Cricetulus griseus: one gene and its partners. The protein of the gene in region 5 interacts with the protein of the main gene of each other region in a pairwise test. Links are inferred from orthologs where the notes say so. Each region holds a gene or a part of one and is shown on either strand. Other genes may lie near its edges. The genes, in order: Adtrp, Ormdl1, Atp6ap2, Aqp1, Creb3, Dram1 and Cd82.

Region 1 (3,500 bases), on a different chromosome or scaffold from region 5:
CTAAACAGCTAGTTCTGGGACAGGCAAGGCTACACAACAAAAAAAACCTGTCTCTAAAAAAAACCAACAAGCTGGGCGTTGGTGGTGCATGCCTTTAATCCCAACACTTGGGAGGCAGAGGCAGGTGGATCTCTGTAAGTTCGAGACCAGCCTGGCCTACAAGAGCTAGTTCTAGGACAGCCTCCAAAGCCACAGAGAAACCCTGTCTCAAAAAACAAGCAAGGGACGGGTAGGGGAGGACTGGTGGGAGAAGGGAAATGGGATTGTCATGTAAAACAATTCTGTTTCTAATTCAAACAAAAAAAAGTTGGAAAAAAAAAGCAAAGCAAAACAAAACAAAACAAAACAAACAAAACCACCACCAACAACAAAAAATGTATTTATTTTTATGTGTGTGTGTGTGTGTGTGTGTGTGTGTGTGTGTGTGTAACTTTATATACACCATGTGTGTGCGAATGCTCTCAGAGGCCAGAGGGTGTTGGGAGCCCCTAGAAATCAGGGTGATGGTTTATGTTTTAATATGTTTAGCAAACACTCTTATAAAGAAATAATTCAAAGCATTAATCATCTTAACACTCAATACAAATGACTAAAACCCCACTGTTCTTAGTAACTGGGCTTTCTCTATCTGCATTTCTTTCCTTCCGATTCCAAATGGATTAGCCCTCTCTCCCTCACTTCCTCCCTCCTGTTTTCTTTTTTACAATTAAAGCTCTTTGAAAGTCGTCAGAAATCTTTACCCAGAAATTCAAGTACCACCAAATTCCTGGAATTAGATGCCTGTACATTTGAAATCCCAATCACTACCCCCAGTGATTTCCCTGCAAACTAGAACTCTGGGTTTGAAATACTTGTTTGAGGATTTTGTTTTTATTTTTGCATTTGAGTTGGCTTTGTTTGCTTGTTTGTAGCATCTCACTTTGAATGTTTACTTTCATAGCAAACACCCCATTTAGTCGCTTTCCGATCAGAAATGGAGGAGGAGTGGATTGGGTTGGGGCAGAGAGAAGGTAGCGGAGGGAATGAGAGGAGAGGAGGAAGGGGAAACTTCTATCAAAATGTAAAATAAATCAATAAATTATTTAAAAGAACATAAACTAAATCTTCCAAGAGAAGCAAATGCAACAAATCCAAGTTGAATATCTCTTTCTCTGAGGCCTCAGCCTGTGACCAGAAGTGGCTCACTCTAGCCCCTTGGGAACTGCCTGCTCTTTGCATCCACAAACTCAGAGAAGGGGTGGGCGATGCCATTTCTGTTTGATGGACCAGAACTGCTGGTAGCTGAATGGGTTGGGGGTGGTGACTACAGGGGATTTTTTTTTTTCACTTTGTTATATACAAACCAAGGTGAATTTCTACATGTCTCCTTGTAGAATTAAAGCAAAAAACATCACCCACAAATTCCAGGAATGTTGTAACAAAATTATCCTGAGATATCTTTACTCCCTTCAATAGCTATTTGTTGCTTATCTCTACATCTGGCCTACCATCTCTTTTGACTGTCACATAAAACCTTTGGAATGAATTAACTTGACAGACTACTGACTTCCACTCTCCCCCAAACTAACAGTCACCAGATAATATGTGAAACCTATAGCAGAGTTTTCCCCATGTTGCTGAAGTCCACAGACCCACTTACCTGCTGTCCCCATCAATGTGCCATGTTTGGTTTAATGCATTCTTTTGTGACTGTCCTTTGTTTTGGGACTGCTTAAGTTCATGTGCCTTCTTCAGTGAAGGAGTAGAATGTCATTCAGGCCAACCCGAATCCTCATTTACCGGGCCATGCTCACTCACATTTGGCTCACAATAAGCTATCTCTTACAGTTTAAAGTGAGAGTCACATTTTTCTAGGACAAAAGAAGCTCACATTTAAGAGTTCGTGTCCTTCAGGCCCTCACTGGGGTGAATGAAGACCCTTATAGGATTTTCCCCCTCATGGCTGGGGTGATAACTCCTTGTTCTTTGGGTCCTAAAGTTTCGAAAGAAGAGTCGGTCTTTGAGTTAAACAAGATATTATTTGATGGAAGAAGGAGACACATGGAGTCTCCAAGGGAATGCCAACTTGCACAAGGCTTTTTTTCTTCTAGCGTTCATAGGACCCACTGAACTCTGTGAACAAAGGCACCTAGCAGTGTGGTCTTCTGGTTTGGATTAAGTTTTCCTTTGGTTTGGGTAGAGGGTAGAGCATGGATAAGAAAGAAGTGTCTGTGGGGACTGTAGATGAGAGGAAAGCACTGACCCCATTTCCAGTGATTAATCTTCTCTCCAAGCAGGTAGATGATGGCACTCAAGATATAAGTGACTGAGAAGAAGATGACAATACCCAGTGGGTTGAGGGAGGCAAACACAGGGTACACCCAGTTTCCGGTCTGAAAGTAGCGCCACAGGACCCTGCATGAACAAGAAGTCAAAATGATCAGGATCACAGAGGCCAGCAAGTTATTTGCACCTCAGGTTCAGTGGGACACTAGAAGACAGCAGGTGAAAACCAGCCTGGCAAATGTTTGTCAGCACCCAAAGTATTCCGGAAGATCTATATAGAAGGAGTCGGTCATCTCTTAGTGCTTTTACATGTTTTAATAAAACATTTTTTTTTCATGGAATGAGTCAACCTTTCCCTTATCTAATACTTTGTGATTCGTCTTGGTGAAAGGATAGAAGGATATAACAGCTTATAACAGATCATCAGCAAAGGAGGGTATGTGAGCACGTGACTTCATTTGCTTTCCTTGAGATGGACAGCTGACTGAGAATTAGACCTGTAAAGATGGTGTCAGTTTTGTTGCCGGCAGCTGAAGGATTGATATATGCTGCTGCTGATTTTGGTACCTAAGAGGACTGTGCAGCTTCTCTTAGCTCTCCAAGTCTTGTTGACACAGGCTGGGTAGCGCTGGTGCATCATCGCTCTAAAACAGGATGCCTGGAGATTATATGTTATCCCTGACTTTAGCTCACAGGAATCCTTAGGGATCCAGCACTAGGTAGGGATGGATGAGTTGGTAGGGAGGCTCAGAATTTACTCATGTGAGGATAGAATATAAGTGGTTTCTGTGAGCCAAAGGAAAGAAAAGAAATGCTGGGAGAGAAGCCATGATGTCTCAGTGAAGACTAAAAATGCTGGGAGCCAACTGCACTGAAGATGCCAAAGTCTAAAATAACTTAAGACACAAAATATGTGTTAAGGGATGATGTCGCCTCAGCTGCAGCTTACAATTGTTAAGTGTATAGAATCTGGAAGAGGATTCTGTGACTGAAATGTTCAGTCTGCCACCTATTAGCTACATTACCTCCAACAATTTATTAACTCTGCTGGTGTAGACCTGGGATCCAGGCAGTATACACCTCAGCAGGAGGCTGCAAGAATGACCGGAATGAAACACCTGTTTGCGACCTATGTATTTCATGTGTAATACATAAGGTAGTGCCTGGCATGTGAGAGTTTGACAGGAGTTCCTAAGCAGCCATGGACAGCACAGCGCTGTTCTCTTGTAAGAGGA
Region 2 (3,500 bases), about 300 Mb from region 5:
ATCAGAGTGAGTCATGAAGGTGAACCTTCACAAACTTTGTAATATAATAAAGCAAACATGACCTCATTTATCAACACACAATACTTAGTCAGAAAAACCAAGAAAGTACACATATAAGGTTGAAGGGGCTTGTATAAAATAAGAGGGTGTATGTCATATAAAGGGAATGTGTACAGTAATAAAAACTTGTATACAAGATGATTCTGCTTTATAGAAGTCTGTTTAAACTGACTATAAATGAATGATTGGAGTTTTCCTTCCCTAACATAATGCCCATTCACTATAGGCTGGTCCTAGTTTCTTACAAATCCCTCATTTCTTTGGATTTAGTTACTGTACCCTCATTGTACTGCCATAACTTCTAAGCTGGGCCTGCCCAACCTGTGTGTAGAGCCTCTCTCAGAAATATACCAAGCACATTAGACAGAGGCATCCCTTAGTGGAGTTCTGCACTTCAAGACAGCCTATGAAGGACCAGTACTTGGCCCTCCAATGTAAATACCTCTTATTTCACATTATCACTGAAGCAGTGCAGTTCACTAACTACTCTTTCCCTACTGGAAACGTAGTAGCTCTAAGAATTTTGTTCAGTTGTAGAAACATTTCAATACTTATTAATTCCAAAGATCCGAACACCATGGAGCTGTGGCATTTTGGGAATAAGTACACTCAGAAGAGAAGCTGTGTTTAGGATGAAGTGAGTTGGGTCATACTTCGTATAGAAACTTGCCAGAAAGTATCTGCAGAGATAAAAAGTTAGAATACACATAGCATCCCGAAATGTAGAATTAAAAAATATTATAAAAGGGGGCCACTGAACACAAATGCATAGAAATAAAATCATTCTGATACTAAAACATTTTGATTTGGAATTTAAAAACCGAGTTGCACGTCTTACATTTCTGCAATGTGCATAGGAGCATGCTGTTGTTTAGCATCCCTGAAAGCAGACAGTCTTCACATGCCTATGAGATTTCAAATGTAGATTTGTATTCAGTGGATTTCTAAAAAGAAGACCTGGGTTTAAGCACCAGTATTCTCAAGGGATTCTGTGGCTTACCCAAAGATCATGAAAAACTGGTGTAGAGCTTTGGAAACTAGCCTTTTCGCACATGCATAAGTCAGTATCTTTGAAAAAAACATGTATTTAGTTGCCCTTCTGATATCATCATCTTCTTGCTTTAACTGAGTAGTCTATAACCAGTCAAACTGGAAACCCAGAAGGTGCAGTTGGAAATTCCATATGTTTTGCTATTACAGGTTCACAGAAAGACCATTTCCTCTAACTTTATCATTATTCTCATAAAGGGAGATGTTTTGTATACTGTGGTTAGAAAAGAACAGCTACCTCCACAAGTAAAAACATCTGCCAGAAGAATGTACATGTCTTTTTCAGAACTTTCTAGCATAAGAAATTCTGTAATCTTCCACTTACGCCATACTCCTCACCTGGAAAAAAAATTTAAAAACTATTTAATGTGTGTGAACAGTTTACCTGCATGTATGTCTGGGTAGCATGTGCATGCCTGGTGCCTGCAGAGGACAGAGGACAACAAGAGATCTCCTCACCCCAAAAATGAAATTACAGACAGCTGTGACCTGCCATGAGGGTATTGGGAATTGAACCCAGGTCCTCTGGAAGAGTAGCCAGTGCTTATAACTGGTGGGCAATCTTTACAGCCACTACTTCTTAATTTTTGCTGCAAAATCGTTCTTCATGCTTCCTTTACATACTTGAAGCATTGTATTCAGTAAGCCAAATGACTTGTTGCCAATGCCAGTTTAATTTATAATCTGGCAGAAGGAAAGGATATATCTCGGCATGTTTTTGCCTTATCACACTTTCTTTTAATGAAATTTAATAACACTGTGTATAGAGCTATGAAAATTGCCCCACTCTTAAAATAACCTAGAAGACGCTAGGGAAATGTAATTCCAGGTAGAATCAGTATACAAATTTATTTGCTAAGGTTTATATTAGAAAGAGACCTGCAATAGAAGACAGAAGTTTTCATTTAATCCAGGTTCTTGATTCAAAAGAGCCACAAGATCTTTACCAATGTAATAGATTTGAGTCTGTTTCAGTTTTCTTTCTTTTGAGATAGGATCTAAGTAGCTCTGGCTGGCCTAGAACTTGATATGTAGACCAGGCTGTCCTTGAACCCATTTGTCTCCAAAGTGTTGGGATAAAGGATGTGTTACTCTAGCTGGCTTGAGTCTGTATCTTTATCCAAAAATTTGTGCTAACAGCATGTCACACCAACCTGACAAATTAAAGCAAGTATGAAAGTACTTGTGAAAATGATCATGGCTGGTGATATAACTGATAATAGACTGCAGGGCATCCTAGGTTTGACCAAGTGCCACACAAGGAACCATGAAACAATCAACACTATACAGATGGCCTGAATGATACTTCTTCAGTTATGTGAGGAATTTAATCAGAATGCTTGAAATAATAACTTTGGGTTAAAGTTATATTTTGAGAACCAGGAAGACTGTATATATAGGTAGATCTTAACTGACTTTTTGGTATATCTAATTCCAAATTCAACATATGTCAAGCATTTTTATGTATATTATACTTCAATTTTCTATGTTTACAGATGCGGAGCCTGAGGGTTTTAAGAAAATGGCTAAAACAAAGTCCACAAGGGCCAGGTAAGTATCCTAGTCATAGTGTCTGTCTAGCAAGGCCAATGTCATATAGCTTAAAACCAATATAGCCCAAACCTATATTAAGGACATCTAACTGTCATTCCTGCTATTGCATTTACTTTTGTTAAATTATAAAAGACTTTCCATTTGAGTTTAATTTTACAAGGGATATAACGAACTCATTTCCATAAAATCTGATAAATATAAAGGGAAAAAGTCTATTGCGTTATGATCCTTTCTTGAAAATATTCTCATTTATGAAAACATCTATTCAAAATTTACCTTTCTTACAAAATCTTTCTCCTTACTCCAGACTGCATTGTTGCTTCATTATATATGAAGCTGTATGTGATAATGTTAAAACTAAGATACATGTGATACATAGTATTGTATTCAACGCAACCTATATACTTAGGTAGAAATGGGTAGGATAAAATATTCAAATGGAAGGAATAATGATGTAGGTACTGGGAGGAAAGCAGACACCAGATTCCAGTAGATGCTTTACAAATAATGATTATCATCACCAAATCATTGCTTAGGATAACTAATCTGACATACAATACAGAACATAATAGAGTGTTTACAGTTTCCTTAGCAATCCATGATGTCTTAACTTTTCTACCACTTACAGAATTATTGGAGAAATTGTGAAAAACTTCCGAGAAGATGTAAACTGTACTCCATAGTCGAGCTGTTCCCAGTGGGTTAGGAGCCTTGCTCTACCCTGATCAGGAGTTTCAAAAGGCGTTCCTTTCACTGCATGCAAAAACACATACATACCCTGAAAAGCAAGCAACAGAGGGTATCAAACACAGAGTTTATCCTTAAACATATGCATT
Region 3 (3,500 bases), on a different chromosome or scaffold from region 5:
CGGAGTTTGCTTTTCCCACCATATACACTCTCTACAAGAAGAATCCAGAACTCTGGGTTAACTGCCTGCTATGGATTTATTCCAACCTACAGACTTTGTATAGATTTTTTCATATAATTACTTTAAAATTGTCATTAAGTAACACTTCTTTATAAGGATCTTAAATAAAAACTTTGTTACTTACTTCCTCACTGGGAGCCAACTGCAAAACTACAGGAGTTTCTTCAGAAAATAAGGAGTGAATGGAATTTGCAACACTGTCAAGACTAAAAGGAACCGCCTGAAATGCAAGAGTAAAAGTGCAATTATTGTTTGAAATAAAGCGGAAAGAAAAGTCATGCAGACAGTATAAGCAAGAGGGCTCGCAGCAGGAAAAAGCATTTTTCATTATTATTGGTATATAGTAATTGCATATTAGTAGGTTTCATCATGAAGTCCATGCTCCCATATACACTTTGAACATGAGGCCATCTTCTACCATCCTACCCTCTTCACCTTTTGCCTGTCTCGTTTTCTTTTTGAAGTCTGCTTTCTACATGAGAGAAAACGTAATATTTTACTTTCTGAATCTGGCTTGTTTTGCTTAACACTCCCACTTCTTGTTCTGCTCATCTTTTTCTGCAAATGACATGATTTTTCATTCTTCTTTATGGCTCCACTAAATCACCAGCAATTTTTTTGTGATGTTTTTTCAGACAATATATTTTGATCACGTTTTTTTTCCCCCTCCCCAAACTCCTTCCAGATTGTATCCACTTTGCTACCCACTCAACTTTATGGTCTTTCTCTCTCTTAAACCTTTACCTACTAAGCCACCTCCCCAGCCCTATCAAAAGACTTAAAAATTATTATTTGATGTATGCATATGCCGTCACACACACACACAGAATTGCCAGAGAATTCTGCCTTTATATGGGTTCTGAGGCTCGAATTTGAGTTGCCAGGCTTGCAAGGCAAAGTGCCATTGTTCACTGAACCTTCTTGCTGGCCCCAACGGCTGCTTTTTAGCTTGAATTTTAAATTTTTTTATTTTATTATTGAATGTGTATGGGTATTTTTGTCTGTGTACCATTTGTGTGCCTGAGGCTGGAGGAAGCCAGAGGAGGGACACTGAATATGGAATAACATGATTGTGAGCTGGCTGTTATGTGGGTGCTGGGAATCAAACCCAGGTCCTTTGCAAAAACAGCCAGTGCTCTTAATTGCTGAGCCATTTCTCTAGCCCTTTGACTATATTAAAGTGCAACATACATATACTACAGTATATAAACCCTGGAGTAAGGAGATTAACAAGCATTTACAAATGGGTGCACTCTCCTAACCCAACTAGATTAAGACACAGAATACCAGCAATGCCCTAAAGCACCCCCCTTTAGCTTTTGGGGTCACTAAAATGGGGATGTCTATGCTATGCTACATTTGTTTTTGTTCTACTCTATTTTTAAAAAGTACATTCAAAAATTTTCTCTCAAAAAGTATTTTACTTCTGATATTACAAGCCAGGTTGTGGTGGCGCACACCTTTAATCCCAGTACCTCTGATCTTACAGTATTAAAAGAACAAGAGGCTAAAAAAAAAGCACTAGCTCTCCCAGAGGTTTGATTCCCAGAGTCCACTTAGAGGCAGATGCCCTCCTTTGGCCTCCACAGGCACCAGGCATGCACATGATGCACCCATGCAGACAATACACTCAAACACAAAAGATTTTTTTAAAGCAGTAGTATCCCATTTTTAAATGAGCAGTAGCTCAAACTGGCATCAAACTTGTTATGTAGCTTCATTACATGGCTTCAAACTTGTGAACCTCCTGCCTCCACTTCCCAAGTGGTTGAATTACACTGTACCCAATGGTTTTGTTTTAATGGAGATTATCTCGCTGACTTTTCTTCCAGTAATTCCGTTTACTACTTAAAGGGTTACTGTATAAGCAGCAAATGAATGCCAAAGCAGTGCAGGCAGAAATGAAGGTAAGTAAAGAAACCTTACGGATGAAATACCAGTATCCAAACTGAAGCATCAATTTCAGGATTCTATGACTAGAACAGACATGTTGCTTTTATCTTAATCAAGATGCATACTAACTCTTCCCAAACTTCTAAAATGAGGTCACAGGTAACTAGAGAGGAGGAAGGGCAATCAAGCTTGCAAAAGCATGTTGTCACCAGCCTCTGCAAGTGCCTGCCTTTTGTGAACACTCACCTCCTCAGGTTTGGGTGGAAACACCTCATTTCACCTAGTGCAGTGGCTTTCAACCTTCCTTAATGCTGTGACCCTTTAGTACAGTTCCTCATGTCGTGGTGACCTCCAACTATGTTATAATTTTTTTGTTGTTACTTCACACCTATAATTTTGCTACTGTTATGAATCGTAATGTAAACATCTGTGTTTTCTAGTAGTCTTAGGTGATTCCGGTGAAAAGGTCATTCAACCTCCAAAAGGGGTTGAGATCCACAGGTTGAGAACCACTGATTTAATGGAGCAGCACTTGGGTTGAGGAAAGTTAATGACTGAAGGATATGCCTGGAGCAATCAACCTGGAGAAGCTAATGAATGAGTTAAATATCAGATTGGGAAGGAAAAAGAATTATATAGACTGCTAAGCTCAAAGGGTAAAAAGCCTGGGTGACTGGAACATGGTGACTTTTCCCACACTGTTTTAGGCAGCTATGCATGTTTGTCCAAGAATTTCTCCATCAGTATCACTTGAAACTACAACTAGCTGACAAAAGGAAGCCTTGCCAAGTAGAATTAGAAGGTAGTTCTGCCTTTAGATTTTTGTGTGGGCTTTGTTCTCTGAGCCTTCTATCTCTCCATTTTCTTCCAAGAAAATTCCAGGTAGCCGAGCAAGGTCAATTAATAAAGTGAGCGTTTGTCATAGCTCCCGCTCATGTAAAGTGAGGCTAGTCTGCTTCAAAATGTTCAGTGTGGTAAGGTGCTTATTAGACACTATTATACATGAAGACCTGGGTTCCATTCCTAGCTCCACATCCACTGGCAGTATGTGCCTTGGCAACACAGAGTTCAAGGCCAACCTGGACTACATGAGATCTTGACTCAAAAAACAAATTTGTGGTTTTATCTATGCTATTAAGCTTTAAATGGTGTCCCGGATTTTCTACATTTATACATAAATGAAATACATGGTGATCTTCACAGAAACCACATAGAGAAATAAATAGTCCTGGCGAAAAGATCTACCATTTGATCTTTATTGTTCTCTCTTCCTACTTTATTTGCATTTACTCTGAAAACTTTTCTGCTTTCTTTAGCTCATTAATGTCCAAACTTAGAAATCTAAATGCAGGTTCATGCATTCACGGCTGTAAGCTCCGCTTCAGACCACTTCAACTGTACTGTGCAGTTTTTAAATATACTGAACATTTATCATTATTCAGTTCTAAGTAATTTAGAAATTTCTGGTGATTTCCTCCCTCTTTAACTCATCAAGTATTTAGGATTATATCGCAATTACATTTTCCTGGTTGAAAAATGGCTGTTCA
Region 4 (4,037 bases), on a different chromosome or scaffold from region 5:
CCACCCAGGTTTTGGCAGCAGGGTGGGAGTAGAAGCAGAGGAGCTGCGAGAGCCTTCCCCTGGGACACAAAGGAGTGACTGCCACCTGTTCCACTGACTGCTTGTCCCTCTAAGGCATCGAGGACCATCCCCCAGTGTCTCCAGGTCCAGGATTCAGTGCCTAAGGAGAGCCATTTGGCTGGGGGCCAGACTATGAACTGCATGCCAAAGGTCCATGGTATGGACCGGTAGTAGGAACCGCAGCACAATGTTTGGTCCCTTCCATGTGGCATTTCACTGAGGATTCTCTTAGCCAAGGCCTTCTAGGGTTGGTAATTAGCTCCGACCAACAATATAAGCTGGTAGCATGTGTGTAGCAGAAACATCATCAGAACCTAAGGCCCATCTCGAACCTCAGGATACTCGGCTCCAAGAAGACTCAGTGGTTAACAACAAACAGGCTTCAGGCTAAGGTGACTGTCCCCAAGCTGTCCCCCCATGAGCCTGAAGCCCCTTCTCCTTCAGCTGTATCCTGACTGACACAGATACTGGGGCAACTCTGGAAAATAGAGGGTGCAGAAGCCGAGGTGGGGTTTAGCAGATTCAGGTGCCACCAAAGCAATCACATTCTGCCTCTGTTTTGGATGACATATTAGACAATGCAAAGCCTTTGTCAGCAAGGGCAAAGGTCTTGCCTGTCACTTGACTTGGAAGGGACAAGAGCTAGGAGTCTCTGTCACCTCTTTCCCACAGGGGCCCTTCATCACTTCCATCCTCCCCAGCCCCCACCTCAGTGAGAACTTGAGCCTTCTCAGAGGAATTCAGCAAGGCACCTAGCCCTGCTCCTATTGGAGAGACTGAAGTCTAGAGGGACACGGCCTGTCTAATGCTGCTCCCTGTGCCCGATGCAGCCAAGTTTTCTCCTGCTAAAGTCTAAACTCCAGTCTCAGGGCTAATCTTCAATCTCCAGTTGAGCAGAGGTTGACTTAAAAGTGTGATCCAGAGATGTCACTATGACACAGAAGTACTCATCCCTGCAGTGGGGCCACATCAGCTGCCCTCTGCACCAGACTTTTACCTCCATCCCCGTCTGCATCTCCAGGACCTGCACTTTAGCTGGAAAGTGAAAGGAGTCTACTCACCCATAACCATTCAACTCACGAGAGCCCTGGACCGCTCCCTTGCTCCTGTCCCCATGCACCTGCCCTGCCGGGGTCCAGCCAGCTTCGTTTCTCTGGGGCTGGTTTCTCTACTCTGCCTTTAGTCTTTGCCTCTAGTGAGGGATTCCAGCCTATTCCCCTCTGAGACACCTTCCACCCTTACTCAGACACTCCCACTAAACTTGTCCCCATTAAACCGAAGTGCACTTGGCATAGACACTGAGCTAATAAGAAGCTGGAAAAAAATCTGTGACCAGGCAGCCACCATCCGCCACTTAGCAGTGTGGAGTAGCCCAGGGGCAGTTATTTTGAACAGTTGTCACCATCTGCTTATCATTCAAGCCAGGAACTATGGGCACAAGTGGTTACACACTCAAATGCAGCAGCAACTTGAAAATGGCTTACACAGTTCAGGACCCAGGTGGGCATGTGTACCCCTCTACTTCCACCTCCACACATAAGCATGCACGCCACACCGTTCAGTGGCCAAGGACCGGAGACCTGAGCCTTCTCCTGAACTGCTATCTAGAAGACTCTTCCAACAACTCCGGAGAGTTTTGTTCCTTCACTTTTGTCTAATTATTGAGGGCAGGGGAATGAAAGGGGGCTGTCTCCCGTCTTTCTGGGAAAGTTGATTTGGAGACCTGAGTGCAGATCGGGGCTGCCCAGAAGTCCAGGCAACTTCACAAGGAGATCACACTCAGATTCTTGCAAAAAATGGCTTTCAAACATGTGGATCTGGAGAAAGTGGACTTGGGACAGTAGGTAGAGGTTGCCTCGGGCACAGAGCTGCCAAGGAGGGAAGTGGCTTCTTAGGTAGGACACAGGAGGGTCAGGAAACTCCAGAGGAGGGGTGAGGAACTGCTGGCACGCAGCTTGCTGCCCCCTCAGCTCATTCCTGGCAGTAGATACTCTGCAGGGGACTTTGGCACAACCATTAGTATCTAGCTCTCCCATGCCCACAGCACCTGGCAGCAAACAGACCCTACAACAGAGCTGAGTTCCAGCCCCAGCTCTCGGCATGACACCAGAAACCCTCATCTTTCTCTCTGTTCCTCAGTGTCCCCATTGCACAGTAGGCAAATTGAGCCAGTGCCTTCCTATAGACCACCCCCGAAGCCTGGGATACCCCACTCACGTCATTGCGGCCAAGTGAGTTCTCAGGGAGGGAGGAGGTGATGCCCGAGAGGATGGCAGTGGCGACGATGGCCCCCACACACTGGGCGATGATGTACATGACAGCCCTGAGGATGCTGATCTGACAGCTGAGCAGTAGCCCCAGTGTGACAGCTGGGTTGAGGTGAGCACCGCTGATGTGACCCACACTTTGGGCCAGAGTGGCAATGCTCAGACCAAAAGCCAGCGACACCTTCACGTTGTCCTGGACCAGTGTCTGGTTCCTCTCCAGTGGGTAATTGAAGCCTAGGGCAGAGCCGATACTGATGAAGACGAAGAGGGTCATGGCCAGGAACTCGGCCACGACAGCCCTCCAGAAGAGCTTCTTCTTGAATTCGCTGGCCATGCTGGAAGGGGGCTCGACTTAACTGCTGGATGCCTGGTGCTCAACTCCCTCCAAGCGCTGAGCCACAGCCTGGGCCGGGCCTATTTATAGGGCTGGGTGGGGGGGAGCACAAAGGGAGGAAGGCCTCTCCTTGCTCCTGGCCCGCCCCACACCACACGGGCCTCCTCTGCGATGGATGCAGACAGGGCTCTGCTGTCTGCCTGCCAACTTTTTCCTTCCTCCTCTCCCCCTCCTGCCCTCCCTTGTTCCCTCCACCCGCCTCAGCCCTGGGCCCTGCCCAGCCCGAGGAGGCAGGCAGGAGGCAGCCGTTGCTCTAATAGGCTTTGGGAAATTCTTCCAAGCTGGCCCTTCTCAGGGGGCCAAAGAAATCCAGGTGTCCCCGCCCAGCCTGCAAAGCTCAAGGGTGCCTGAGGGCAGAGCCAGGCACTCTAGAGGGGGTGGGGAATAGGGGTTGACTGGACTCTCAGGATGGACGTTGCCCTCCTTGGAGGTGGCACCCAAACCCGCCTGCCTGTCCCATCCCACTCTGAGCAGTTACTAATCTGAAGTCCCAAGGTTCTGAGAGCCAGTCTGGCCTCCAGTGTCCTGGCCTGGGCCAAGCAGCTGCATATCACTTTGGGGATGTCACCTCACCATCCAGGCCTCAATTGATGGGGGTAGGAAGCTTTCTGGGAGTCACCTAACATTCTGCAGACAAGGATAGGCCTGAGCCAGGCAGGGCTGTTGGAATGCTCCCCCAAATCCTCAAACAATTTTTTTCTCTAATAGGCAATGGAGCTGCCAGGTCACTGGGGAAATAGAAGGAATGGCAGCTGCACCTGAAAATAGGAGAAAGAGAAGCACACAAGGGCTATGGCTAAGAGACAGATACAGAGAGATGGGTGACAGACAGGGCAGAGGGAAGCATTATCTGAGTGAGAGTGGAAAGTGAAGGAGAGTTTTCCAGCCAGACAGGGAGACAGCAAGAAGAGCTAGGGATGTAGCTCAGGCGGTAGAATACGGTCTGGGCACCGGGTTCAAACCCCAGCAACACAGAAAACAAAAAACAATACTTGAGAAACAGGAAGAGCACAAACTGAGGAGGGGACATTTGGCTGAACCAGAGTTGAGATACAGAAACAAAGGAAGAGGGAGGCCAGAGGCACTTCCCAACAGCAGGAGGGGAGGAGGCCATGCTGCAGATCCAGCGCCCACCCTGCTCCCGGTGCACCCCCAGAATCTGGAGTTAAGGACCTGAGAACTGGTCAGTGACCTACTGTGTGAGTGTGCTAGAAGATGAGCCACACCCACAGCAGGGGGCAGGGGACTCTCTCTGTAGCCACAAGGCAAGGCCTGGGATGATCAGGTGCCCTCTCTTCCCACCTTAGTCCTTGGCT
Region 5 (2,753 bases):
TGACTTCTACCTCTCCCCACAGGGTCTGACTCGGGAAGGTTTCCGGACAGCTGAGGGCTGTTACCGCACTGTATGGGAACGCCTGGGCCTGGCTTTCCAGACCCCAGAGGCATACTGCCAGCAGCAAGTGTTCCGCTCACTAGCCTACATGAGGCCGCTGAGCATCTGGGCCATGCAGCTGGCCCTGCAACAGCAGCAGCATAAAAAGGGCAAAAGGCCAGTTGTCACACAGGGCACAAGACTAAGCACAGAGCCTGAACATGAACCAAAGAAATCTTGGACAAACCTAAGCCCAGAGTGATCCCCCTGAACTGTGGAAGCCCAGCCAATACACTGGTCTTTCCTCCTCCCTCCCACCACTCCTGCAGCCCTGAGCCACTAGGACAATCAAGCCCCTTCCCTTCTTGCTACCCAACTGTGCCAGTAAAAAGGGGCCAAGGAACCACTTATTTATTTCTTACCCTCCCCGTTCCTTCCGTGGATGAAATATTCAAGGCCAGTAAATTTCTCCAAGTCTATTCATGGAACAACAGATATACATGAGTATAAATAAAAGACCATAAAACTGTTAAGTATGGTGTGTTTGAGCTCCCAGGCATCCTAATAGGGCACAGGAGCAGAGGCCAGCTCTTTCCCCCATTCCTTTTTATTTGAATACTGACAGGAATCCTCAGGCTGAGGGTACCCCGCATCTCAAATCTAACATGAATGCCTGCCCAGCAAGACAACAGAAGAAGGGCTGTGGGTAGGCAGCCACTCCCCTTTCTTTGAAAGATTTGCCTTCAGGGGATGGTTGGGGCCTGAGAAGGGGGTCTCTGAGGAAAGATCAAGGAATGTCCAGTGCAGGGGTGGCTCTGCCTGAGGCATGCAGTGTAGGAGGCAGGAAGCGTTGCTGGAGGCCTGGAGCATCTGCTCTGAGCTACCCAGCAGCTGGCTTGTGCTGTCCTTCAGTGACTTTGACCGCTGGGCAGGCAGCTTCTCCTGATGACAGTCCTCACTGGGAAGGGCACGAAGCTGACGGTGCAACACTGAAGAGACAAAGCCTTGTCAAGTGACAAGACAGAAGCCACCCTTTACCACAGCCCATGCCTTAAAGGTCCTCAGCCTCTTACCAACATACTCAGCTGGCACACTCCCCCTTGTGTCAGAGGAGTACATAGCAGGTACAAGAAGAAGGCAGAAAGAAAACAGTAGGACCTAGAACACGGAAAAAAGAGATGAAGGGCTCTGGGTCATACACCCCATCTCTGCCAAGAAAATGATCTGCCGTCCCATTCTCCTCACCAGAACACACGTGCTGCCGCTGCTGGTTTTGTTTGCTATCTCAATAACCATGGCCTGAAGTTTCTTCAGTTGATCTAGAAGGGACCTAAGGGAAGAGAGAGGAAACAGTGGTGAGCATGCCCTGGTCTAGCACTGAGTCACAATGAAACTCACCCTACCACCCTCCTCCCCACCCCCATTTAAGCCACTCTCTCCACTGGTGCAGTGGATCCAATCTCTTAACTTCCTTGCCATCCCCCCTCCCCCCCCAAATGACTTCTTTGTGGACCTGTGGTTCCTTATTGAAACAAAAAATAAAAACTTCCCTGCCTTGACTAAAGCTCCTTTGCCAATACCTTCCAGAATTCTCTTAATACGTGATCAACTATGCATGTAATCCCCACCAGGTACTGTGTTCTCTACTTTCTGGGCCAACGCAAACACAAACACTGTCTTCTCTCCACCTAGAATGCTTTCCCCACTCAGCCCCTCCTACCCCCATTGCAACTGCTCTGATGTTGACTACCTCCATTCAGTCTTTTTCTTTTTTTTTTTTTTAAGATTTTATTTATTTATTATGTATACAGCATTCTGCTTCCGTGTATATCTGCACACCAGAAGAGGGCACCAGATCTCATAATAGATGGTTGTGGGCCACCTTGTGGTTGCTGGGAATTGAACTCAGAACCTCTAGAAGAGCAGTCAGTGCTCTTAACCTCTGAGCCATCTCTCCAGCCCCTCCATTCAGTCTTTTCTTACTTCCTCTTTGTCTTGGTACTTAATTTCTTCTTAGCTACTTGGAAATTTATTCCCCATTACTCTGAGCTTGAGACCTGGCAAAGGCCAACCACCAGATTTTTGAATTTAGGAGCAATCCAGTTAGAAGTCAAGGGTGGAATAGTGGAAAGAGTGAGACAGCATTAAACTAATGACAGGACTGGAGAGATAGTTCAGTGGTTAAGAGCACTGACTGCTCTTGCAGAGGACACAGGTTCATTTCCCAGCACCCACATGGCGGCTCACAACTGTCTGTAACTCCAGTTCCAGAGAACCCGACAAACACACAGACATACATGCTGTCAAAACACCAATGCACATAAAAGTAAAAAATCATTAAAAAGATTTTAAAAATTAATGACTATAAATGGTTGCTTACAGATTCTGTTCCTCTAGAATTCGTATTTTGTTCTGCAGCTCCTGGTTCTGGGCTGTGTATTTCAAGACCCTGGAGGATAACATGGATATCAAAATATTGCCTGTGTCTTCCCTTCAAAAGCTTAAGGCTTCCAACTTGTTCCCCATGCTCTTCCTTTCCTACCTGCTCTCCAACCCTCCCACATACACCTTCTTCTTCTTGCGGCTTTCTTGAGCAGCTCTCTTGTTTCGAATCTTTCTCCGTATCCGTTTGAGAACCTGTTCCTCCACCTAAGAGAAGATGGGAAAAAGGTCATCCAAGGTGTATTATTTTTTATATACCCATACATATATAT
Region 6 (3,500 bases), on a different chromosome or scaffold from region 5:
AACTGTTTATGACAATACAAACACCACTTACACAGTTTTACAGTCAACACAAGCTAAAGATTTAAGGAAATGTATTTCGAGAGAAAGTATGAACATCTTCAGACTAAAACAGGACAAGGAAATAGGGAAGGAGTTGTCTTCAGAGCAAAGGCTGCAGTTTGTTAGTACATTTCTCAGTGTCAGGACTCAGTTCCTCCTTGGTTGAAAATTTTATAATTAAAAATTTCTCCAAGGCTGGGCAGTGGTGGTGCACATCTTCAATCCCAGCACTGGGGAGGCAGAGGCAGGTGGATCTCCGTGAGTTCGAGGCCAGCCTGATTTACAGTTAGTTTCAGAACTAGGAGGAAGAACGTGTAATCTCCACACTCTGGAGGCTGAGAAAAAAAGGGCGGGTGGGGGGTGGGGGGTGGGGTGGGGTGTGGGAGGGAAGGTCATGGCCAGCCTGGGCTACAGAATAAGACTCTATCTCAAACCATAATAAATAAAATCAAAAGCAAAATTGCATACTTAGGCTATCTGATGTAACTTCTATTTTTGGATAGAAACACGGAGCTCAGAGTTTAAAGGACATGATGAGTCATGGAGCTTGACCACTATAGATCATGAACTGGCCTACATTGTTTGCAAAACAGCATCCATTTTTTTTCTGCAATCTAACACAAGATCAAACGGTGGAGAAGTTTCCACCCTTGAAATACCATATCACTTTTATTTTCTTGGTTTAAATACTTCATGAAAGAGAGAGAGAGAGAGAGAGAGAGAGAGAGAGAGAGAGAGAGAGAGAGGAGCTGAGTGTGATCACACACACACCTATAATCATCGCAGCACTGAAACCCAGGCTGAAACTGGTTGGCTACTGGCCAGCAGAAGTTACACAACAAGACCTGTCTCAAACAAACAACACACACACACACAACAGATGTGCAAGCACACGCACGCACGTGCACGTGCACACACACACACACACACACACACACACACACACACACACACACACACGGCGGGGGAATGCTTCCCTTTTCTTTTTTATTATTGAAAATAGATTCTCCTTTGATACAACACATCACCACCACAGTGTCCCCTTCCTCTACCCCTTCCCACCTGAACACCTCATCTCCCCTAGATTCACTCCCATTCCGTTTCCCTTCAGAAAAGAGCAGGCCTCCAGGAGACAACAACTAAACTGGACAAAACAAGACACAATAAGACAAGGTCAAAAGCTGTCACATTGAGGCTGGACAAGGAGGAAACGGGTCTTTAAGACCCTAGTCCCATAGCCCAGGCTCATCCTCATGCCTTTGCCAAGCCAGTGAGCTAGACATAAGCATGTGCCTGCATGCCCAGCTTTCATTTCCTTTAGATCAGAATATATCAGCATGATTAAATACTCATTTCCTTTATTTCAGGGCTAAATTAGAAAACGAAGTAAACTTCATATTGAAAACAAGGTTCGAAACTACAAAAAGGCTCAATGCATTTTGGTTGACTTAGTCGTGAGTGACAGAAGTTTAAAAGGAAATCCTAGGTCAAGTTGAGTTAACCAAACTGTCATGTCTCCAGTAGGCACGGAGTCCAGACTCTTGAGATGTCGCAAAGCTATTTCCTTAAATACAATGCCAATATTTGATGTCTTTAACCAAACACTTTTAAAAAACTAAATATTTTCATATGGCTTGTGAAAATGACCGGTGGGAAGGAAAAGTCAACAGGCTGGAATGTCCTTGCTTTTTTTCTATTCCCAAAGTCTGTTTGAATCTAATACTTCTGTAGTGTGTACACTGTTCTCCTATTTGGTCCTCTGAAGAATATGGACACTTGGCAATTTTTCCTTTCCTTTTTAGTGCTTTAGACATGGGTGTAGAGAGAACATCAGACTTGCTGGGACCAAGATTCTTCGCTTAGCTGAACTATGTAGTCTGAATCCTGACAACCCTTTCTCCTGGGCCCATCTGTTCATGTCAATATAAAAAACAATTTAACTGAAATATAAATTTAGAATATAAAACCAATTTAACGAAATCCTGGTTAAGGTTAGTGTGGTGGTTTAAATAAGACTGGCCCCCCAACAGGCTCATATATTTTAAAGTTTGGTTCTCAGTTAGTGAAACTGTTTGGGAAGAATTCAGAGGTTTGGTCTTGGAGGTGAGTCACTGGGGCTTTGAAATTTCAAAAGTCCTTGCCATTCCCAGTTACCTTCCTCTGCCTTGTGACTATGGACCAAAATATAAGTTCTTAGCTACTGCTCCAGTGCCAAGTATGTCTGTCTGCCACCATGGTCCCCCACACCATTGAGAGTCATGGACTCTAACCCTCTGAAACCATAAGCCCCAAATAAACTCTCCCCTCTGTAAGTTGCCTTGGTTATGGTGTCTCTTCACAGCAACCAAAAAGTAACTAAGACAGATATAAAGTGTCTCCATCACCACCCCCAAAGGTTCTGCCAGGGTCTGGAGGAGATTCTGGAAATGTTAAGAAGTAGGACCTATCGGAAGCAGATCGCTGTGGTCGGTCCTTAGCCAGGGCTGGGGAACTCATGTCCCTGACCCCTTCCCCCACCTCCTCCTGTTCCTGTCTCTCTTCCTCCCCTCTGTCCCTTGCTTTCTCTTTCCTGTTCATAATGAAGAAATTCAGCCTCCTCATGCTCCAATTGCCATAATGCTTTGCCTGAGTGCACCAGTCCAAGAAACCATGGACTGAAGTCTCAAAAACAGTGAACCCAAATTAAACCTTCTCCCCCCATAAGTTGTTTACATCAGGTACCACAGCGACACTGAGTCTAATAACCCATCTCCTCACAGTTGGTATGATCAATCTGGCTAAAAGCCATCTACCCCCAAGCTGTCTGATTGCCCTGAAGTGTCTTGTATGAGAATTATGGCAAGGAAGTTGAGCTACCTTAGTCCTCTTCTACCCAGTGACCCCATGCTGCTCCCTGCTATATAGACTTCCACTTACCCACAAGTGAGTCTCTCTCCCTACTGCAAGACCCCACCTTCAGCAGTCCCTCTAGCTACTGCTATGGCCTGAGTTAGGACAGTCTTCTTCCTCGCCATATTCTTCCAATTGACACGTGGAAAGGATACTGGGGACCACAGCTGCGCAGGAAACAGCAGAGATGGCCATCCGGACATGGCATGTCGTGAGACTGTTCCACTGGGGACATGATTTGTAGGAGATGATCGATTGCAGGAGCGTGTAAACTACACCGCAGACAAAAGCCAGAAGGGCACCACCATCATGGACGACAGGCACAGCTAACTCCTGTGGAGATCACAGATGGGTCTTACTCCATGGGACAGTGCTGACCTGAAGCTGCCAGCACTCGTCCACTCACCCTGGGAGTCTCCCAGCCAGTGGTTCTCAACCTTGCTAGTGCTGAGACCCTTTTAAAAGTGTTCCTCATGTTGTGGTGACTAATCAGAAAATTGTTTTCATTGCTGCAGTGGTGGTGCACACCTTTAATCCCAGCACTCAGGAGGCAGAGGCAGAGGCAGGTGGAT
Region 7 (3,713 bases), on a different chromosome or scaffold from region 5:
AGGCAAGGGTCCCTGCCCTGGAGTCTGCCCTTCCCTGTGCTTCAGGGCCTCACAGGTGAGTGGGAGAAGTGCCCACCTGGCCACCCCTGCCACCTTCCATCTGCTCCTCTCTCTCTCTCTCTCTCTCTCTCTCTCTGTGTGTGTGTGTGTGTGTGTGTGTGTGTGTGTGTGTGTGTGTGTTTCCTCATCATGTCATTTGATTCTGAATTTGTCCAGGCTGAGAATGCTGGGGCTGTGAGGGACAGTCCATTTCAAAAACCTTGAGTCACACATCTTACTTGCTTTACTTATTATGAAAAAGTTTCCTTATGTGAGTGTTAATAGAAATCCGACACTCCAGAAAGTGTCCTGGCTTCCTGGTTCTCTACAGCACATATACCCAGATCTCTGAGGAGGAAGGACCAGTGAAGATGAATTGAAACACAGGAACCCCACATCATGCCTTCAGGTTCATCCCCGTGTCCTCTCCACCCCATAATTTAGGACACGCCTCCTCAGTCTGTATTGTTACAAACCTTCTTTAATAGTTGATTTCAGAGCTGAGTACATGGAGCCCCTCCCCCACCCTGCGAGGCACAGCCTCAACCACCCACCCTTAGTGCAGAGGACAGGGAGAGCTGCCAAAAAAAATCAGTCCAGCTCATCCTTCTCTGGGTCCACAGACAATTCAGGGTCCTGTGCCAGACCTGAGGGACCCATGTCCCTAAGCAATTGGGTCCCTTACCAAGAAGCTTACTAGAGGCTGCCTGGGGCAGTCCCCCAACCCCTGCTGAGCTGCGCTGCTGGGGGTGAGGGGACTGTCAGGTGTGAAGGACTGTCTACTCTCTCTGTCTCCCACAGAAACATGAAAAACCCACAAAGACAGTGTCATTATCACAGGGGTGGGGTGGGGGGCAGGGTACTAACCTTCCCTGTGGCCTGTCCCTGGGTAGCCATGGTGTTACATCCACCCACCCTGGAATTTACTACAATATAATATGACTTCAGGGTGGGGACCCAGCCATCCTGTACAGTAACACTGGGAGCCATTTAAAGCTAGACAGTAAGCCCCCCCTAGACAGTAAGCCACAGGACAGCCGGGGCTCCATACTAGCAGAGAGGAAGGGAGAAGGATCCAGGCCCAGAAAGTCCCCGCTATGACCTGCTCAGGATGGGCCAGAGACCTTAGTGGTGGATGGAGCACAGGCCATGGGGGAAGGAGTCAGAGAGGTCCCATGGGATACTGAGGGTGGAGAGACACAGCACAGAGAGGATGTCAGCAGCTCAGTACTTGGGGACCTTGCTGTAGTCTTCAGAATGAATGTGCCGGCACAAACAGATGGACAGGAACAACCCCAGCAGCTGCAAAGGACAGGTCAAAGTCAGGATGGCTGGCCCAGGTCCCAGAACCCTACCACCCAGCTCAACACCGGGCTCTAGGCACAACCACCTGAGGCAGGCAGGCTGCTGAAGCAGGCCCAGAGAAGGACAGCCCTAGCTGATGTCACACAGCTAAATGGCCTGAGGCCAGGGCACCTCTAGAAGCCCATGGACCACTCAGCCCATCAGTGCAGAGACAATAGGGGAGAGGAGTATGTGAACCCCACAAAGCTCAGGGATCTAGTTGTGACGGTGCCTGCTGGTAGGATTTGCTGAAGGAGGCAGAGACAGGAGGATCATGAGTTCTAGGCTAGCCTGGGCTACACATTTTAAGCCAGGCATTGCTGGTAGTCACATTTAACCCCAGCTCTCAGAAGGCAGAGGTAAGAGGATCTCTGTGAGTTCAAGGCCAGCCTGGTCTATAGAGTGAGTGCCAGGACAGGCTCCAAAGCTACAGAGAGAAACCCTGTCTCGAAACAAACAAACAAAAAGCTCAGGGGAAGGCTGGGGGAGGAACAGACCTCAATGACAGCAACACCGACACACACGCCCAGGAGGATGCCGAGGTTCTCCTGAAGCCACATCTGCACCTTCTTCATACACCCCTGTGGGAATACTCCACATCAGCCACCACGCACTGCAGCAGGGAGACTGCCCGGAGCCCTGTCTCATGAGCAGAACCCCATATGCTTGCAGATGAGGGTGTGAGCAAATAGGGAGGGGACTAAGGAGAGAAGGATGCGTGAGTGACAGCCTGGGAAAGCGTTAGTGGCTGGAACACTTGCCCTCTCAGGGTGGGAGGGTCTGCTCCTGGCTACCAGCCCCACCCTGACATACCTCCGGGTACACAGGCCACTCTTCATGGAAGATTGCATCCGAGCTGCTGTTGGAGACCTTGCAGAACCCCTTCTTCACAATGTACTGGTTGTCCTCTTCCCCTGTCTTCTCGCAGGAGCAGGGGTAAATGTTCTCTGTAGAGTTCCTGAGCTCCAAGTTATCTGTCCAGTTGTAGAAGCTGGCCCAGCCACAGCATTTCACCTGTGCAGAGTGGGGGACAGGCTGGGATCCACCACTAAGCCCATCGGGAGCCGCCCACCTCCAGGGGGAGACTCAGACTGGCCATTTCTGCGCCCCCCTGGGGTGATGTAGAGTGTGGGTTGAACTTAGGTGCTGCGCATCAGTAGGGACTTCAAGAGGCTTTTAAGATGTAACACAAACTACAAACACAGCAGAGAGCCCAAATGGGAAGCAGTTAGCACAGGCATACTGAGTGGAGGAGGTGAGCTCAAGGGCAAGACCAGTCGGCACAGGGTATGAGGTTGGCTGGTGGGGGTCTGGGGTCGGGTGCTGGGTTCAAATCCAAGTTCTGTCACTTCAAGATGATCTGAGGTTTTCACAAATGAAGAACAGAAACTAAGGTCCCTACAAGGTGAGGCAGACAATGTGCACAAATGGGTCCACAGAGCCCAATGACAGTCAAGCCTGAGATCTGGCCCTGAGCTTCCTGGATGCCAAAGTGAAAAAGAAGACAGGAGCAATTGTACCGTTTTAAGGGACAGAATGCTTCCGTCCAGAGGGCAGAAAGCCTCTCTGGGATGGAAGCTCAAGGTGCTATCTGTGGGTCCCTTTAGGGATCAAACGGGAAGGACTAGTATCCATTTTGACATCCTCTGGGGCATCTAGTACACACAAGCTCGGATCTTCAGCAGCCAGAAGGGGGCGCTCCAAGCATGCACAGGGGAGATGAACTCCAGGCTGCCTCCCTCCTCCCTCAACCCTACCCCTTGGGCAGGTGTCAGGAATTCTGACAGAAAGGCTAGAGCCTCCTGGGGTGGGTGCCACGGGATCTGTCCCACTGAGCAAAGGCAGGCTTCGCTTATTCTGTGACACCAGAAGGGACCAGCTTTCCAGAGCCAACAAACAAGAGTCAGCCCTGTAAGCCCAGGAGCTGTCTCTGAGGCTGTACTTGGGGGCCAGGAGCACTTGTGCCCCATTCCCAGGGGCAACATAACCACACAACCTGACTGTGCAGATATCAGACTGCAGGTGTGCAGCCCTGTGTCACCACCAGCCGTCCTCACCTGCGCCTGCACATAGTCCCAAGCCTCCTGCAGTCTCTCCTCACGGCTGCTGCTGGCATTCGTCTTATAGTTCTGAATGATGTCCATCACCATGCTGCCCACCTCCTGCTTCAGCTGTAGAGGGATATGAGGGTCAGGGCTGGCCTTGAACCTGAGTCTCATGACTGTTCATGCTGACACACACCACCTCCTCCACCACAGCAATCCCAGGTCACACTCATGGCTCCAGGGCATTTCAACCACCTTCCTGGTAATTCCTAGTGCCCATTTGGT

Evidence for each region.
Region 1: the proteins of Creb3 (region 5) and Adtrp interact in a two-hybrid assay, tested with the Homo sapiens proteins (2 studies listed by BioGRID and IntAct). The two-hybrid records come from large-scale screens. The link is inferred for Cricetulus griseus from reciprocal best matches to the Homo sapiens genes CREB3 and ADTRP.
Region 2: the proteins of Creb3 (region 5) and Ormdl1 interact in a two-hybrid assay, tested with the Homo sapiens proteins (2 studies listed by BioGRID and IntAct). The two-hybrid records come from large-scale screens. The link is inferred for Cricetulus griseus from reciprocal best matches to the Homo sapiens genes CREB3 and ORMDL1.
Region 3: the proteins of Creb3 (region 5) and Atp6ap2 interact in a two-hybrid assay, tested with the Homo sapiens proteins (2 studies listed by BioGRID and IntAct). The two-hybrid records come from large-scale screens. The link is inferred for Cricetulus griseus from reciprocal best matches to the Homo sapiens genes CREB3 and ATP6AP2.
Region 4: the proteins of Creb3 (region 5) and Aqp1 interact in binary tests that used the Homo sapiens proteins (3 or more experiments, as listed by UniProt). The two-hybrid records come from large-scale screens. The link is inferred for Cricetulus griseus from reciprocal best matches to the Homo sapiens genes CREB3 and AQP1.
Region 6: the proteins of Creb3 (region 5) and Dram1 interact in a two-hybrid assay, tested with the Homo sapiens proteins (2 studies listed by BioGRID and IntAct). The two-hybrid records come from large-scale screens. The link is inferred for Cricetulus griseus from reciprocal best matches to the Homo sapiens genes CREB3 and DRAM1.
Region 7: the proteins of Creb3 (region 5) and Cd82 interact in a two-hybrid assay, tested with the Homo sapiens proteins (2 studies listed by BioGRID and IntAct). The two-hybrid records come from large-scale screens. The link is inferred for Cricetulus griseus from reciprocal best matches to the Homo sapiens genes CREB3 and CD82.

The regions. Positions count from the first base shown.
Region 1 is NC_048596.1:261,457,006-261,460,505, forward strand, and holds part of Adtrp (androgen-dependent TFPI-regulating protein), read right to left. Parts: intron 2,395-3,500; coding exon 2,243-2,394; intron 1-2,242. UniProt on the Homo sapiens protein: Hydrolyzes bioactive fatty-acid esters of hydroxy-fatty acids (FAHFAs), but not other major classes of lipids. Show a preference for FAHFAs with branching distal from the carboxylate head group of the lipids.
Region 2 is NC_048595.1:402,678,393-402,681,892, forward strand, and holds part of Ormdl1 (ORM1-like protein 1), read right to left. Parts: intron 3,443-3,500; coding exon 3,291-3,442; intron 741-3,290; coding exon 605-740; 3' UTR 1-604. UniProt on the Homo sapiens protein: Plays an essential role in the homeostatic regulation of sphingolipid de novo biosynthesis by modulating the activity of the serine palmitoyltransferase (SPT) in response to ceramide levels.
Region 3 is NC_048604.1:118,214,884-118,218,383, reverse strand, and holds part of Atp6ap2 (renin receptor), read right to left. Parts: intron 281-3,500; coding exon 185-280; intron 32-184; coding exon 1-31. UniProt on the Homo sapiens protein: Multifunctional protein which functions as a renin, prorenin cellular receptor and is involved in the assembly of the lysosomal proton-transporting V-type ATPase (V-ATPase) and the acidification of the endo-lysosomal system.
Region 4 is NC_048601.1:85,981,956-85,985,992, forward strand, and holds the start of Aqp1 (aquaporin-1), read right to left. Parts: upstream 2,801-4,037; 5' UTR 2,662-2,800; coding exon 2,278-2,661; intron 1-2,277. UniProt on the Homo sapiens protein: Forms a water channel that facilitates the transport of water across cell membranes, playing a crucial role in water homeostasis in various tissues.
Region 5 is NC_048595.1:99,950,819-99,953,571, forward strand, and holds the end of Creb3 (cyclic AMP-responsive element-binding protein 3), read right to left. Parts: intron 2,689-2,753; coding exon 2,582-2,688; intron 2,489-2,581; coding exon 2,420-2,488; intron 1,370-2,419; coding exon 1,285-1,369; intron 1,198-1,284; coding exon 1,113-1,197; intron 1,029-1,112; coding exon 700-1,028; 3' UTR 501-699; downstream 1-500. Other genes in the region: Gba2 (non-lysosomal glucosylceramidase), read left to right, coding at 23-301. UniProt on the Homo sapiens protein: Endoplasmic reticulum (ER)-bound sequence-specific transcription factor that directly binds DNA and activates transcription. Plays a role in the unfolded protein response (UPR), promoting cell survival versus ER stress-induced apoptotic cell death.
Region 6 is NW_023276806.1:154,333,587-154,337,086, forward strand, and holds part of Dram1 (DNA damage-regulated autophagy modulator protein 1), read right to left. Parts: intron 3,262-3,500; coding exon 3,084-3,261; intron 1-3,083. UniProt on the Homo sapiens protein: Lysosomal modulator of autophagy that plays a central role in p53/TP53-mediated apoptosis. Not involved in p73/TP73-mediated autophagy.
Region 7 is NC_048599.1:83,315,531-83,319,243, reverse strand, and holds the end of Cd82 (CD82 antigen), read right to left. Parts: intron 3,555-3,713; coding exon 3,441-3,554; intron 2,398-3,440; coding exon 2,197-2,397; intron 1,965-2,196; coding exon 1,881-1,964; intron 1,342-1,880; coding exon 1,264-1,341; 3' UTR 501-1,263; downstream 1-500. UniProt on the Homo sapiens protein: Structural component of specialized membrane microdomains known as tetraspanin-enriched microdomains (TERMs), which act as platforms for receptor clustering and signaling.